Linked DNA regions of Diceros bicornis minor. The protein of the gene in region 1 binds, or shares a complex with, the protein of each later gene. Links are inferred from orthologs where the notes say so. Each region holds a gene or a part of one and is shown in the gene's direction. Other genes may lie near its edges.

Region 1 (7,470 bases):
CTAAAGTTCTATCGTTCAGTGGAAGGTGGGGATGGCTTTCAGAGTTAACAATACAAAGCAGGTGACTTTTTAGTTCCTCTTGGCTTGAGTCCCTGCCTCCCGGACAGAAGCTGGGAAATAGGTGTGTGTCTGGCTCCCTGGCCTGGACCATAGAATCACAGAGTTGTGGGTGGCTGGCAGGAAACCTCACTCATTATCAGGACCCATGTCCTATCTCGTTCACTCATTCAACAAAAACTTACTAAGCAGTGGTGTTGAATAGAATGTGGGCAGGGATGGCAGCTGTTGTGTTCACTGATTAATCCAAGGCACCTAGCACAGTGGTGCCTGTGGCTGGCACAGAGTAGGTGCTCATTAAACATCTGTTGAATGATGGGTGGTTTCCTGCAGCAGAGTCATCTAGGAGAGCCTATTAAATGCAGATTCCTAGGCCCACTGCAGCCCAACTGAATTGTAATCTCTGGTGACAGGGCCCAGGTGACCACACACCCTCCAGAGTTTGAGAACCATGGCTGTAGTGTCTGAATAAAGCATCTTCCTATTAACGGAGGAGAGAAAATGCTGATGTTTTTACTTTTGAGCATTTGTTGGTAGTGACTAAAATATTCAAGTTAAATAAATTCATTTTGCTGTAGCCATTTCCGTGGAGCCTGGGGGAGTCTGGGCTTTGCCCAGGGTATGTGCAGGGCAAACTTTCATTAATCTTGAGAGAGGTGAGGCCAATAGAAAGGCAGAGAAGATAGGAGTCAATCACATGAAGTCCAAGTTCAGCATTATTATTGCCCTCCACTTGAAAGTCATAAAATAAGAAATGTGCCACCATTCTAGCTTCCTGGTTGCTGGTGTGAGGTTTTTCTCAATCCCTTTCAAGGGTCTGTGGCTTGGACTGTGCACAGACCTGGGTTCAAATCTCAGCTGTACCTCTAACTGCTTGGTCTTGGGCTAATCACCCTTTTTAAGCTTTGGCTTCCTCAGTCATAAAATGGACATCACAATGCTGACCACTCAGGATGCTATGAACTCATGTGTCTGGCACATGCTCAGTACAGAAAAGCTGCCAAGCTTTGGCTAATACCTATAAAGTGCCATCATATCTGGACTGGAGTGTTCAGGAGAGGTGCGTTTAGCCCAGCCCTTTCATTTTTTTCTTTTATTTTTTTGTGAGGGAGATCAGCCCTGAGCTAACATCCATGCTAATCCTCCCCTTTATTTTTTTTTTTTTTGCTGAGGAAGACCGGCTCTGAGCTAACATCTATTGCCAATCCTCCTCCTTTTTTTCCCCAAAGCCCCACTAGATAGTTGTATGCCATAGTTGCACATCCTTCTAGTTGCTGTATGTGGGACGCAGCCTCAGCATGGCCGGAGAATCGGTGCGTCGGTGCGCGTCCGGGATCCGAACCCCGGGCCGCCAGCAGCGGAGCGCGAGCACTTAACCGCCAAGCCACGGGGCCGGTCCCCTAGCCCTTTCATTTTACAGGCAGGGAAACAGCCTCAGAGAGGGAAGCAAATTGCACGATTGCACAAGATCATCCAGCACCTTACGTTTCTTGAGGGCTTCTAATCTCAGTGGAGAACTTCCAGTTCCTCTGTGGACCAGAGAGAGTGATGAGGCTGACTCTAGTGGTGATCTGTGATGGAGGAAGTCTTGGGATAAGATGCTTCTGAAAAGGAAGCTAGGTATCTCAGGGGAGGTGCCTTCTCACCCTAGTTTCTTGCCAGCCAGAAGCCCCTCTGAGGACACAGTGACCAGTGAGAAAGTCCCCGAAGCTGGGCAATTTGAGGCTTTTCTATCAACACCAGAGTTTTAAAGACAAAAGCCTTTGGGCGAGCACTGTTGAGGCCTTCCCTGGGAGACCCTGTCTGGTACTGAAGCTCTGCAAGGCCACAGCCAGAGATGGCTGGCCTTGGGGACTCTCCAAGTCTGGCCTCTAGGCTCTAAGGGGCACATCACCACTCAGAGGCCAGGATGGATCTGGCAGGGACACCTCTGGAAACTGTCCCACAGGGCTCTGCCTCTGGTGTCCATGGGCAGCAGCAGAAAAGTGGGGCCATCGGGGAGCTCAGGTCTTTAGTGCTAATGGTGACGATGTTGGAGATGGTGGTGATGATGATGAGGCAGAGGATGAGCACTTCCTCTCTGCCAGGCGCAGGGCCAAGCCATTCACTTACATGCATTGTTTCACTCCATCTTCACCAGATCCCTACGTGGAGGAAACTGAGGCTCAGAGAGCTTAGGTGAATGACCAAGGGCACACAGCTAGTGAGAGCCAGGACTCAAGTCCAGATCTGTCGGAGTACATGCTAGCCGGCAGCCTAAAAGTGCCAGAAGAAACGAAAGTAACACTGGCCAGTGCCTTCAAGGGATATGTATTTTATCCTCATTTTTACAGATGTGGAAACAGAGCATCAGAGTTTAGCATTTTCCCCACGAGGCCAGGCATCACGCCAAGCACTTTCCATATATTGTCTCCTCAATCATCATATCATCATAACATCCCTATGAAGTAAGTCATTCTATGATCTCCATTTGTGGAGATGAGGAAGCTGAGGCCTGAGACTAAATGACCTGCGGGGGTTCAAAACCAAGCAGTCTAACCAGAGGGCCCAGGCTCTGAACTTCCCGAGTTGCCCAACACTGGAACAAGATGTGGCAGGGCTGGACCAGAACCCAGGACTCCTGACTCCCAGGCTAGTGCTCCAAGGCTAGATGTAGGCTCTCTGTTAGAATTCATTGTTCCTTAAAAGCACGCCTACGGCCCAAAAAGTGAAATCCTGCCGTGCAGTTCTGGGAACCTCAGACTGGAGAAGAAGGAAGCGCGTGCTCTGGTGTTCAAGTCTGAGCAGGTGTACTGTCCCGGGGACTCTCCCTGTTTCCTCCTCTACAGGGAGGGAGCCCATGCAGGGCGGGCAGGGTGGGGCCGCCCTTGTGAGTGCAGGGTGGGAGGAGGGCAGGAGGCAGGCATGCCCAATAAATGCGCCTAAATCTTCCTGCCTTAATCCAGGCGGCGCCCTCATCTCCTGCCTGGCAAACAGCAGGGCACTATGATGCGAGTTCAAGGTTGGAGTCAGGAGGCCTGAGTTCCCGTTCTGGCTCTCCAGAAGGAGAGCACTCACTCCATGTGCACCCTCCACTCTGGGTAGTTTCCTTATTTATACAACGTGCGATGGTGGCGGTGGGGATCAAAATCCTCTGGGTTTTTCAGTTAACACATTATTTATTAAACACCTACTATGTGCCAGGCACTGGAGACATAGCAAGTGCAAAAGCAGATTCAGGTCCTGCTTTCATGGGCCTTAGAGTCTAGTAAGGAAAGACACAAAGATCAAATCTTCACTGAAACAAATGTAAAATGGCAACTGTGACCAGCATTGTATTTTATTTTTTTCGCTGAGGAAGATTCGCCCTGAGCTAACATCTGTGCCAATCTTCCTCTATTTTGTTTGTGGATCGCCACCACAGCATGGCCGCTGATGAGTGGTGTAGGTCCGAGCCTGGGAACTGAACCTGGGCCGCTGAAGCAGAGCACACCAAACTAACCATTAGGCCACCGGGCCAGCCCCAGTGTGACCAGCGTTTTAAAGCAAAGGCCTGCGGAGCTAACAGAGCCCATGATGGTAGGGGTGGGGGGAGAGGGAATGGCTTGACAATCTGAGGGGCGGAGGGGAAGGATGTCCTAAAGATGTGGTTACTAGGTGAATGGCTACTGGCCAGGAGACAGCACTCCGTGTATAGAGGCCCTTTGTGAGATGGTTCATCTGAGGAACTGGGAGAAGGCCAGTGGGCCAGAGGAAGCCGCCAGGAGCTTGGCCACTTCAAGGCATTGTAGGCCATGGTAAGAGAAGTCATTGACAGTTTTTTTGTGTGTTTTTTTTGGCGGGGGAGGGAAGTGAGGGGAGACGGGAGAGAGAGAGGGTCAAACTTAGACTATGGGTCAACGCATCTTTCAAGGAAAAGGTAAAAACGTCACCCCCTCCAAGGAGCCTTCCCTGATTTCTCCACTCTTGACATACGGCAGTCTGGGTAGAGACACTCAAGCCTCTGGGGCAGTCAGACTTGGGCTTTGTCTTCCTGCTATTGAAGTGCACTGCGGCTTCAAAAGAGGTCCTTTTACCTTCCCGGGCCTCAGTTTCCCCAGCTGTGCAGAAGCAGGTTGTCTCGAAGGACCCGCCCAGCGCTAACGCAACGTGATTCGCTCTGGCAGGAGCGAGGGGCTGCCCGCATTGCTGCGCAGGCATCGGGCTGCTGGCTGGGGCACCATCATCCGGCTGCGGGAGCTTTCCTCCCGGCTGGAAGCTGCGAGCGAGGATCGCGGCGCCAGACGTTGCGCAGGAAGGTGGGGGCGCGACCCCCGGCTAGCGCGGGCACCGCGCGGCCCCGCCCCGCAGCCGCCGGCCCTGCGGCAGCCGGAGCCTGAGCTCCGCCCTCTGCCTCCCGCCGGCCTCGCTCCCTCCTCCCGCCTCCCTCGCTCGCTCGCTGGCTCCCTCCCCCGCGGCCGGCTCGGCGCTGACTCCGCCGCACGCTGCAGCCGCGGCTGGAAGATGGCGGGGAACGACTGCGGCGCGCTGCTGGACGAGGAGCTCTCCTCCTTCTTCCTCAACTATCTCGCCGACACCCAGGTATGGCCAGTAGGGGCCGCGGGCGCGGGGCCAGAGGTGCTGAGCTGCGGGGGCTGCCGTCGCAGCCGCGGAGGCCGGGAGGCAGCAGTGGGCGCAGTGGGGGGACCGGGGGTTCCAGGCTGCAGAGCCCCTCTTCCATGCGCTCTGCGATGCGCTCCGTTCCGGGGGCGGGGAGCTGGAGGTCCCCCCGCGCATGCCGGAGCGTTGGCGCTACGGCCGCTGGGGAGGGTCTAGCCTTGGTCGTTTGGAGTCCGCCCCCCAACCCCCGCCGACAGAGCTGGGGGGTACCGCACTTCCTTGGGGAGGTGGAGCCGCGCCAACGTGTGGGGGACCCTCAGGCTGGCTCTGGGTGCTGGAGGCGCGCCCTCAGGCTCCCAGCACTTGCTGCCGTACTTTCACGTGGACTTGTGGCCCCGACACAGGCGCCTGCCCCGGTCCCCGGAGTCCCCTGGTCCTCTCGTCTCCGGTCCCCCGAGTGCTGCTGCTGGCCCCCCGCGGCTCCCCTTCGGCGCCCGCAGCGCAGAGTTTCCTGCCGGTTGCCTGCTAAGGGCATAGGGGTCTGCGAGGCACGTGGACATGCGAGCGGGGATAGCACCTTCCTGGTTTCGCTACGCGGCGGAGCCTCTTGGGGGAAAAGCACGGCAGGATGGGGGCGGAAGGACTGTCTGGGGGCGCCTGGGTCCCCCTGTGGCGCGCGGCCCCGGTGCGCGCTCGGAGATGCTGGGGGAAGGGAAGGCGAGGCGGCGTCCCGGGCTCTGGCTGCGCCTGGGAGCCCCACAGGCGACACGCGCGTGACAGGAGAGGGTGTTCTGGTGTGCGGGGGGGGGGGGTAGTGGCGAGGAAGCTGGTGGCTTGGAGACGGGTGTGGGGGGGTGCTGCTGGGACAAGCAGCCACCGAAAATGCCTGCACAAGGCGTGCGCGCCCCCCACCCCTTCCCCGGTTTCCCCCACCTCATGCCTGTTGCAAGCATAAAGTTTGGCCCCATAGTTATGGTTTTTTTCTCCGGGCGCGCGGCTGCGGGTAGCCGGGAGGCTGGGGATGCGGTGGAGCCGAGAATGAGACCCCGGATGCGGGCGCACGCCTGGGAGCGGAGAGGGGCCGCCGGGCGGAACCGGGCGCGGCTCGCGAGGGCTGGTTTGGTACCTGGAGTCGGAGCGCCCGTGCCGGCTCGTTTTGCATAACACTGGAAGGGAGGGGAAAGGCGGGGGGGTGGTAGGGAGGGAGGAGAGAGAGAGAAACTTTGCTTCTTGTTATAATCTGCCTGTCTTTGGGCGGCAGCAGCTGTCATGGGACCGGGTGGGCGGGGAGAGGTTTGCAAGCTGACTCCTTGCTGTGAGACGCGACTTGGAGCGGACGCAGCAGCTGAAACGTTCAGCTCCGGGCGGACTCCGGGTGGCGACTCCCGGCTGGCGGCTAGGACGGCGCGGCGTGGCGGGGTGTCGCCGAGAGGAAGCCCGCCACGCGCCGGAGAAGGCCGGCCCTCGCTCGCTGCAGACGTCCATGCGTCAGGGAGCCGCGGGGCCTCGTGGTCGGTGGCGGGCGCGCTCGGGTGGGTTCGGGGCAGGGGTCGATGGGGCTGGTGGCGTGTGATCGCGCTTCTCAAGGCCGGAGGGAGTGTGTGATGAGCGGTCTGCGCGCGCGGGTGTGTGTGTTTCTGTGCACACGCCGCGCGCGCCGGGCGCGTACCTTTACCTCTGACGAAACTGCAGTGTAGCTCCCGCGGCGGTCACCGGGCGCCGTCACACGTCCCGCGCCCGTGTCTGTGCGGAAGGTCGATGCCCCCCGTCCCCCGCCCCAGCCAACAGCCTGGGGCTAGGGGGACTTGGAGCCGGCGGGGCAGAGTTGCCCCTGGGAAAGTTCTGTCCTCAGCCTTCGCACTTGTCTGGGGGTGTCTCCAGCCCTCTCGACTAAGATGCGGGTGAAGAAGGCCTGAAATAGCCAGAGATTTGTTCAGGAACTCATAGCAAGAACTGCCCGTTCTGGACCCAACCCCAGGTTTTAACTCCATCTTCAGGGTTCTTCGGCTCACCAATAATTAATTATTTTCCCTTTTAGGCGCCCAGCGGGCCTACCCAGCAGGGATATTTCACCCAAGGAAACTAGAAAATTGGGTAATCAGGTGTCAGCAGAAGCAGTGCAGTGAAAGTTAATCTGGGACGTTTGCTTTTTTTATGTAACCACGTGACAGGCTGGGGATCTTCTGGTGATCTTTGCCGGCCCAACTTGGGAAATGTAATTGATAGGGGGAGCTTTGCAACCACCCCTAAAAGGCTCATAGAGCCCAGCCGGAAGAGGACCTGGGCAGGCCATCCTGTGCCTCCTCATTTTCCAGTTGGGGATAGAGGCTGTGAGGGGTGAGCGGCTTGTGCAGGACCACGCAGCCAGCGAGTGACAGAGCCACCCAGGCCTCCTGACTCCAGGTCCTGTGTGTTACCTCGAAATAGCACTGGACTTGGAGTCAGAAGGCCTGAGTGGAGTCGCCTTCCCCACTTTCTGGCTGGGTGACCCTGGAGCAAGCCATTTTAACTCTCTGAGCCTCCTTTCCTCCATCTGTCAAATGGGGCTGGTGGCGCTCGCAAGAGAAGCCAATGGCCAGATGGTGGGGGTGAGCACTGTTTGCATGTGAGATGTCTGGTTGTTCCTGCAACTCCCTCTCCTCCCCTAGACCCTCACTGACCCTCCCCTCCTCCATCTCTCCCTTTGGAAAGGGTGGGAAAAGTGAATGAAAAGATAATTGATTGTCTTTATGCAAAAGACTTTTGTTGTCTTTGGTGGCTAATCCAGGATTAGACAGAGGGAGGACGTCTGTGTAGGAGACTTAACTTTTACTCATTTGGGCCAAAGTTCAGAAA
Region 2 (7,338 bases), on another chromosome or scaffold:
TGACAGCGTTCCTGGCCCTCAGTTTCCTCATCTGTAAAATGGGGACGAACCTAGTTGCCTTGTGGGACTGTTTCGAGTTCCGTGCCTTACAGTGACAAGACTACGTCACCTGGACCCGTGAGGTTTTCCTGTCATTACTAGGATAGCAGCCACGCCCATGTCCATGGTTGGTCCCCACCGAGGTGCAGCTGTGGGCCATGCAGCAGCTCTGTACTTCCCAACAGTGAACTCTCCCTTTCTCAGCGTATCCCCTGTCCCCAGTGACTTCCACCACCTGACCTGAAGGCATGCTTCCAGGAGATCAGAGGCCACTGCCCTGGCTGATGACACTCAGAAGCACAAATTCCACCTCATCAGGAAGCTTTGTAGATCAGCAATGGGCAAACAAGTGACTTGCAGAGGGCTTGGACAGCTCCTGGAAAAGGGCTTACCTAAGCTGCCGGGCAAACAGACAGACATCGGCCTGGACCCCCAGACCCATGGGAGAAGCTTTGCCCGGGCAGGGGTTGGGGCCAGCAGTCGGGTCTCACATTCTCTCTGACCACAGCTGACCCTACCTGCGTACATGTTCGGGGTCTAACCTGCTGCTAGCATTGGTGGCAGACCCGTATCACTTCAGGTGGCCTCCTCCAGCGACCCCCTCCCCTGCTCTGAATGTCCCAGCCTCCTGATTCCCCCTCCCCCGAGAGGCCAAGGAAGGGCCTTGGCTGCGCTGGTGGGGTTGGGCAGGGTGGTGTATCCAGGAGTGGCTCAGCGGGGCAGGAGTGGGCTCCATGACCCACCCCCCATCCTGGGCCCCGATACTGGTCTATGTGCCCCAGTGCAGTGGGCGCCTCTCTGTGCCTCTCTGTTGTCATGTGGGCACCATAATAATCATCTCTCTGAACATCCTCAAGATTAGAAAATGGGAAACAGGCCCTGAAACAGCATCAGCACCAAAGAAATGGAAGCTATGAACTGAGATACATGCGTCCCCAAACGCTCCCAGTATTTACGAAGGTTCCAAAGAGGAACTCAGGTGGTGCTCAGACATGTTTTCACGAGTGCTAATTTGTCCCCAAAGTTATAGATTTCTGCTCAGTGCCTGCACAGAAGGCCATCTGTTCTGTTGTGTAACCTATACTTCATCAACGCTGAAGGAGGTGAAGAGAGAGGGAGAGACTTCCTGGAACTGGGGGTGGGGCGGGGGGTGTCCTTTGCGACAGTTTCTCCCATGCTGGGTGAGTGACCAGGTCTTCACAGCAAACAGGAACCCAGGGTCCCCCCCCGGGGCAGCATGTATGGAGCCATTTCTGGCCAGGATACTCCCAAGAGAAAAGTCCTGTACGTCCTTCCACTTTCTACCTGTGGGGCCTGGCTGGTGCTTTTGTTCGTGACAACTTTCAACACACGCATGAAAAACAAGTTTTCTCTCCCTAAAACCTCGGGATCCCCAACAACATCATTTCTCTCTGTCTTCTGGGTGTACACACTACTCTGTTGAACTCTACACAGCTTCCTTTGTCCTCGTTCAAAACAACTTTTCCAGGGTCTCTCCAACTGCCTGGTTGAACTAGGTTTATGGCAGACCATCACAGTGCCTCTGGGAAAAGAAGCCAACACACCTGCATTTGGACTCTTGGTCCTTGACAGCCTGGGCTCTGGAGTATATCAGGTGATGTCTTTGAGTCTGGATGTCCTCACGAGGACATGAGCCCATACGGGCAGCCGCTGGGCAGCTTCCTTTGCTGCTACATCCATGACACCCAGCACAGTATGGCCTCTAGCCACATAAATAAATAATACTGTTGCCTGCCCAACCTACAGATATCCAGGATATAATGCACAGGGATCGCTTCCTAAGCTCTGGAACCTAATACAAATATTGGCTATTGCTAGGATGTGCAATAAAAGTTGGACTTGGTGTGCAAGTGGGAAAGTTGTGTGGGTGTGTGCAGGGTGGGGCAAAGTTCACCCAGGTATGCAGTGAACCAACAAGTGTGAGTTTATAAGACATCTGTGAAAGGGACAGGTTCCGCCTGGTCTCCAGTGTCTGTGCGTAATCCAGGCATTTGTTGGAACTGTGCTTCCTGCCCGGAGTAGGTCTTCCTGGGCTCTGGTCGCTACAAATAGAACAGTGGCAGGAGCAGGGAGGGCAGGGAGGAGGGCTGGCATAGCACACATTTCGTTCCCAAAGGAGGGGCGTCCTGATGCGCTGGCACACGGGGTTTTGTGCATTCCACGCGGGGAGCTCGGGCATCGCCGCGCAAACAAAGCCGCTTTGCAGCTCCCCCCACGCCCCCCTTGCTCCTCGCTATTGGCTGTCGGGCCGCGACCTCCCCCTGCGCTGGCAGAGGCCCAGCGCCTTGGCTGGGCACAAAGTCAGCCCCTCACCCCCGAGGCACCGAGGGAGGGGACACGGCTCTTTGGCAGCTGGCCGTGGGATGGGGAGCGGGTGGTCGGAGTCAGCAGCGCCTCCCCCCGCCCGTCCCCGTTGCCCTTCACCCTTCCCGTTCCCCCGCCCGCCGCACCCGCCCCGGCACCTTCGCCACCTGTTGACACTGGGTCCTCCCAGCTCGCGTTCCCTTTCTCCTTCTTTGGCACCCTGGGGTCCCGGGGTCCGGTCCTTCCATGCCCGCCCCCCATTCCTCACCCCGCGCACCCCGGAGATCGAGGGCACCCGCGCCTGGCCCCCGTCTAGGCCAGTTCATCGTACAGACCGGCAGAGCCGGGCTCCCGGAGCGAGGAAGGGCCTCGCCAGCGTGGCCAGGGCGCTGGGCGTGAACCTCCACCCGTCCCGCAGCCTGGCGCCCGCCTCCGCCTGGCCTTCAGCCCCTCCCGGTGGGCCATGCCGGCGCCGTACCAGCCCGCCCGGTGACCTTGGCAGTCCCTCCGCCTCCCTGGCCTCAGTTTCCCCACTGCTGCAGCTGCCGTGGGGCACGAGGTGGGAGCCACCCACGGCGGCCCTGTGGCCGCCGCGGCCCCGCCCCGGCCCCGCGGGGAGCCAATCGGGCGCCGCCGTCCGGGGGGGTGTGTCCCGCCCGGGGCCGCGGCTGGAGGCCCGGGGGCGGGACGGGAGGCCCGGGGGCGGGGCTTCCGGGCCGCCCACCCGCGCTAGCCGCCCGCGCTGCCGGGTCGCGCGGGGGGGCAAGGGGCGGCGCGTGCCGCGGGGGCGCGGCTGGCACGGGCGCGGGGAGGCGGCGCCGGGCATGGGCAGGGGACGCGGCGGCCCCACGGCGGGGGCAGTGGGCGGCGTGGGCGGAGGCGGCCGCTAGCGCCCTGCCCGGCGCCGCCTCCCTCGGCGCGCTCGCCCGGCGGACCGGCAGGCGGCGGACCGCGGCCCCAGGTGCCCAGGGGCGGCCGGGCGGGCGGGCACGCGCGCGGGGGTCCGCGGGCCGGGCCTCCCCTACCCGGGGACCCGGGGCGGCGGCGGCGGAGAGGCCGGGGCCAGGCGGCGCATGCGCGGGGCTCGGGGCTGGGGCGGCCGCCGCGGGCTTGTGCGGGGGATCCCCGGGCCCAGGGGCCCCTCGGGCCGAGCGCCGGAGGCCTACGCGGAGCCCCGGCGTCCGCGGCTGTCGGTGGGGCTGGGCTGCGCGGCGGCGAGGCCGGGGACCTCGGAGACACTGGGTCCTCAAGTTGTCGCGTGGGAGGGATGGCCCACCAGGCGGGGGCATCGGGCGCGCCCTTCCCTCGGTGCGGTCGAGTTTGGGCGTCAGCGACTGGGGGGCGTTTCCCGAGACCCCCGGGGATCCCCGAGGCTAGGTAGCCCGAGGCCGGGACAGGCGCGACCCCGGGGGCCGTGCGCCCGCGGCTGCGGTCCGGCGGGAGAAGCTCACGCGGGTTAGTTCCCCGGCCGCGGGGCGCCTTTGAGGAACTGCGCCGCTTCGCGCCCGAGCGCAGTCGGGCGACCCAGTGGGGCCGGGCCGGGCGAGCCCAGCAGGCTCCAGCGCGCGCCCTGCGCCGCCCCGAGGGGCCAGGGTGGTGCTGGCGGACGTCCCGAGGGTCGGTTCTGCCCCCCTCCGCCCACCCCGGACTAACAGAAGACAACTGCCCTCCTGTGCTTTCCTCGCCTTTTTAAGTTTAAAGAAGGGACGGCGTGCCCCAAATGTCAAGGTTCTTTCTAAGAAAAGCCTGTAGTTGTAGAATGTCTTGGGTTTCGCGGGGCGCTCTGGGACCTTCGGGGCTGCACGACCCTCTCAACCCAGCCACCCTGCGCTCCCAGGGCTGCTTGGGAAGGGGTGCGCGGGGAATGGGGAGGGGAGGCGGGGCACAGGGTGTTCCTGGGAACGGCCCTGCCACCCCCTCGCCGTTGAATAAGCCCGGTCACGGTGACTTTCCTCTTCCAAGGTGGTGGAGAGTTGGGGAGAATCCAGAGGACATATCGCAATCATTTCCTCCTTTACCTTCTCGCTGCCAAGGCCGCCCGCCGTGACAGGTCCTCCCGCCCCTGTGCAGGAACAGTTTGTGGCACCGCAAGCGCAGACCCGAGACGTTGTCATCACAGGTAAAATAGAAGGTTTGATTTACTCGTGTTTCCAGACCGAAGTCTTTAAGTGTTTACTTCCGTTGCCCTACAGACTCGCAATTTGGGGGTTAATTATTCCTTTGTGATGCAGCCTTAGATATATTTTCAGTGCTTTAAAAGGAAGATAAATGTGGATAGATTCCCCTTTAAGTTCTGAAAAGTTTAGTGTGTCAGTTTCGCTAGCAACTGCATTTCTTCATGGCAGGCTGGTTCCATGTAATCGAAAACTACATATAACTGTGAGAACTCTTTACTACTTAGACAGTGAAGTTACACAGGCTGACAAGTGAAGAACGGCATGCGGGCCTCTTAGCTGTCGTAATTGTAATCTGAATATCAAGCAGATGGCTTGCTGGGATAGTAGGTCAGGTCTAGAACTATCATCAGCTAGGACACGGACAGCGTGGAGAAGTGGGCGGATGGTGCAGATTTGAGAGGTCACTGTCCATGAGGGGCCGGGCAGTGAGCCTGACAAAATTCTGTACAACTTTGAAGGAAAGGCAAATTAATTGACAGTAGAAAAAAAATTCTCTCTCTCTTTTCTCACATCTTAGACATATAATAAGAGTCATTCCATAATCATAAAATTGTTTTTTTTTTGCTAGCTCATGTTTGTCAGGCTTGTGAACAGATTTTTAAACATTGTGTGTGTGTGTGAGAGAGAGAGAGGAGAAAAAAAAAACATTTCTATATAACCTATTTTGTAACCTACTTTATTGACTATTAGGTTATGAAAAGTCTTTCCATGTGAATGAATGTGTTTGTGCTTCATCATCTTAAATGTCTATATAATATTTTGTGGTGTTTAGATACAATAATTATTTAGCCAATTCCTTTATATGTGTGTGTGTGTGTGTGTGTGTGTGTGTGTATTTAATCATTCATTCTATAAATGGTTATTGAGTAGCTGCTGTGGGCTCTTGTGCTCAGTATTGAGCAAGGCAGCTGTGGATCTGCTCATGAAGCTGATTTTTATATCAGAATGTAAAAGAGAAACTTAAAGATTATCCTCATCATCTTAAAAGACACACTGGAGTGTGGAGAGGGAACTGTTTTTGCCATAGCACCTTTCTGTTTAGTGATTGGTAACAGTGCTTTTTTTCTTGCATGCTATCTATGAGCATCTGTGTTTTTGTAATAAATATTCTTTAGGTAATCTTTTAAAAAATTTTTATTAAAATGTTTCTTTGCTTAATGTGAACAGATTTTAAATATGTCAGATTCTCCTCTCTTTTCCTCTCTCACGGTCTCTGTGTGTGAATGGAAATAGTCTTAGTGGCACATAGGTTGAGTGTCAGCTTCCAAGTGGCTGGCATTTTTGTTGAACAATTGTAGTAATTTTGTCACGTGGCAGTTGGAGGATGTGGCCTGTAGAATTTCTGCCTTTTTGGAATTTGAGGGCCTCTGTTTGCATTTCTGTTTTTGGTGGCTTGGTATAGTGTCAGTCTTTTAAATATTTCATAAACATTTCAAGAAAAAGGCATAGTTTCTGTTTGTAGGATAGACATTTGCTGTATCTGTTATTTCTGCCTTGTTGACTACCTAGAACAAGCCAGCTCACCGCTAAGGCCATGTGCTTAGGGAAAATTGGGCAAAGAATGTTAATTTCCACCTTGGTGTTAAGATAGTTTTAAGGCAAGAACCAAATAGGAAAAGTCCTAGATGTCCCATGGGACCTATTTAAAAGAACTTGTTTCTTCTTCCCAGGATTTCTGTTGCTGGCATGTAGTGAGCTGCTTAGGGAAATGGACACATGGTGCAAATTTTCCGGCCTGTTCTGTAGCAGACATAACTAGTCTGATTTGCTCATTATCTGGAGGTATGTTTGTTCTTTGTTTCTAGAGTGTTTAATTACTTAGCATCTTGTAGTGGTGACATTGTGGTGTCTAAAAAGTGAAGAATTTACTCCTCACTGGGTCAGCCCTGTTGTAGCTGTTTGTGGTTGAGCTGCATTTGTGTTGAGATCAGCATATATACAAGAAAAAACATTTGAAAATTTTGGTTTGCGTCAGGGAAGCGGCTTGTTATAGTGGAAAAGGCGTTAGGCCATTAATCATGAGATTTGGATTCTCGTCCTGTAGCTGCTGCCTGACAGGCCTGGGGATTTTGTCCACCTCTCTAAACTGCTGTTTTCTCATCAGAAAACGGAGTTCCTTTTCATTCTACCTCTGAAGGGTTGGAAGGCTCAAAGGGGTGGCTTACGTGAAGATTCCTTTTTTTTTTTTTGCAGGGGAAGATTTGCCCTAAGCTAACATGTTTTGCCAATCTTCCTCCTTTTTTCTTCTTTTGCCCCCCAAAGCCCCAGTACACAGTTGTAAGTTTGGGTTCTTCTATGTGAGCCACCACCACAGCATGGCTACTGACAGGCGAGTAGTGTAGTTCCACGCCTGGGAACCGAACCTGGACTGCAGAAGTGGAGCACGCCGACCTTTGGCTGCTAGGTGATCAGGGCTGGCTCCATGAAGATTCTTTATAAAATGCAAAAAACCATATGCAGCCCAGGAGGTGTCTCTCAGAGGAGGAAGCCACGCCCTGAACTGCCTGCACCTCTCACTCAGCCACACCTGACCCCTGTCTTATTTTTGCTCTGACCATTTTACGATTTTCAAAGGCTTTCAGAAAGAAACACACCTCCCCTCCATACACAAAAAAAATTTTCTTTTTCTTTTTGAATAGGTAAACAAGAATTCTACACCAGTAACAACAAAATATGTGTGGTTCGTGCTTTCTCTGAACATCGACATGCCCTCAGGTTTTGGTGGTGATACATTTTGCATTGTCCTTACTCGGGTATAGCTAGACCATGCAAAGGGCTATTCCTGATCCTTGGGGGA

The links.
Region 2: the proteins of PPARGC1B (region 1) and PPARA are in contact, whole or in part, in a crystal structure (PDB 3SP6), measured with the Homo sapiens proteins. The link is inferred for Diceros bicornis minor from reciprocal best matches to the Homo sapiens genes PPARGC1B and PPARA. Residues at the interface, in NP_573570.3 of Homo sapiens: Ser154, Leu155, Leu156, Gln157, Leu159, Leu160, Leu161, Thr163; in NP_001001928.1 of Homo sapiens: Val284, Thr285, Thr288, Glu289, Lys292, Phe297, Leu302, Asn303, Gln305, Val306, Leu309, Pro458, Leu459, Glu462, Ile463.

What each region holds. Positions count from the first base shown.
Region 1 is NC_080740.1:66,821,779-66,829,248, forward strand, and holds the start of PPARGC1B (peroxisome proliferator-activated receptor gamma coactivator 1-beta), read left to right. Parts: upstream 1-4,396; 5' UTR 4,397-4,539; coding exon 4,540-4,617; intron 4,618-7,470. UniProt on the Homo sapiens protein: Plays a role of stimulator of transcription factors and nuclear receptors activities. Activates transcriptional activity of estrogen receptor alpha, nuclear respiratory factor 1 (NRF1) and glucocorticoid receptor in the presence of glucocorticoids.
Region 2 is NC_080764.1:4,342,007-4,349,344, reverse strand, and holds the start of PPARA (peroxisome proliferator-activated receptor alpha), read left to right. Parts: upstream 1-4,305; 5' UTR 4,306-4,483; intron 4,484-7,338. UniProt on the Homo sapiens protein: Ligand-activated transcription factor. Key regulator of lipid metabolism. Activated by the endogenous ligand 1-palmitoyl-2-oleoyl-sn-glycerol-3-phosphocholine (16:0/18:1-GPC). Activated by oleylethanolamide, a naturally occurring lipid that regulates satiety.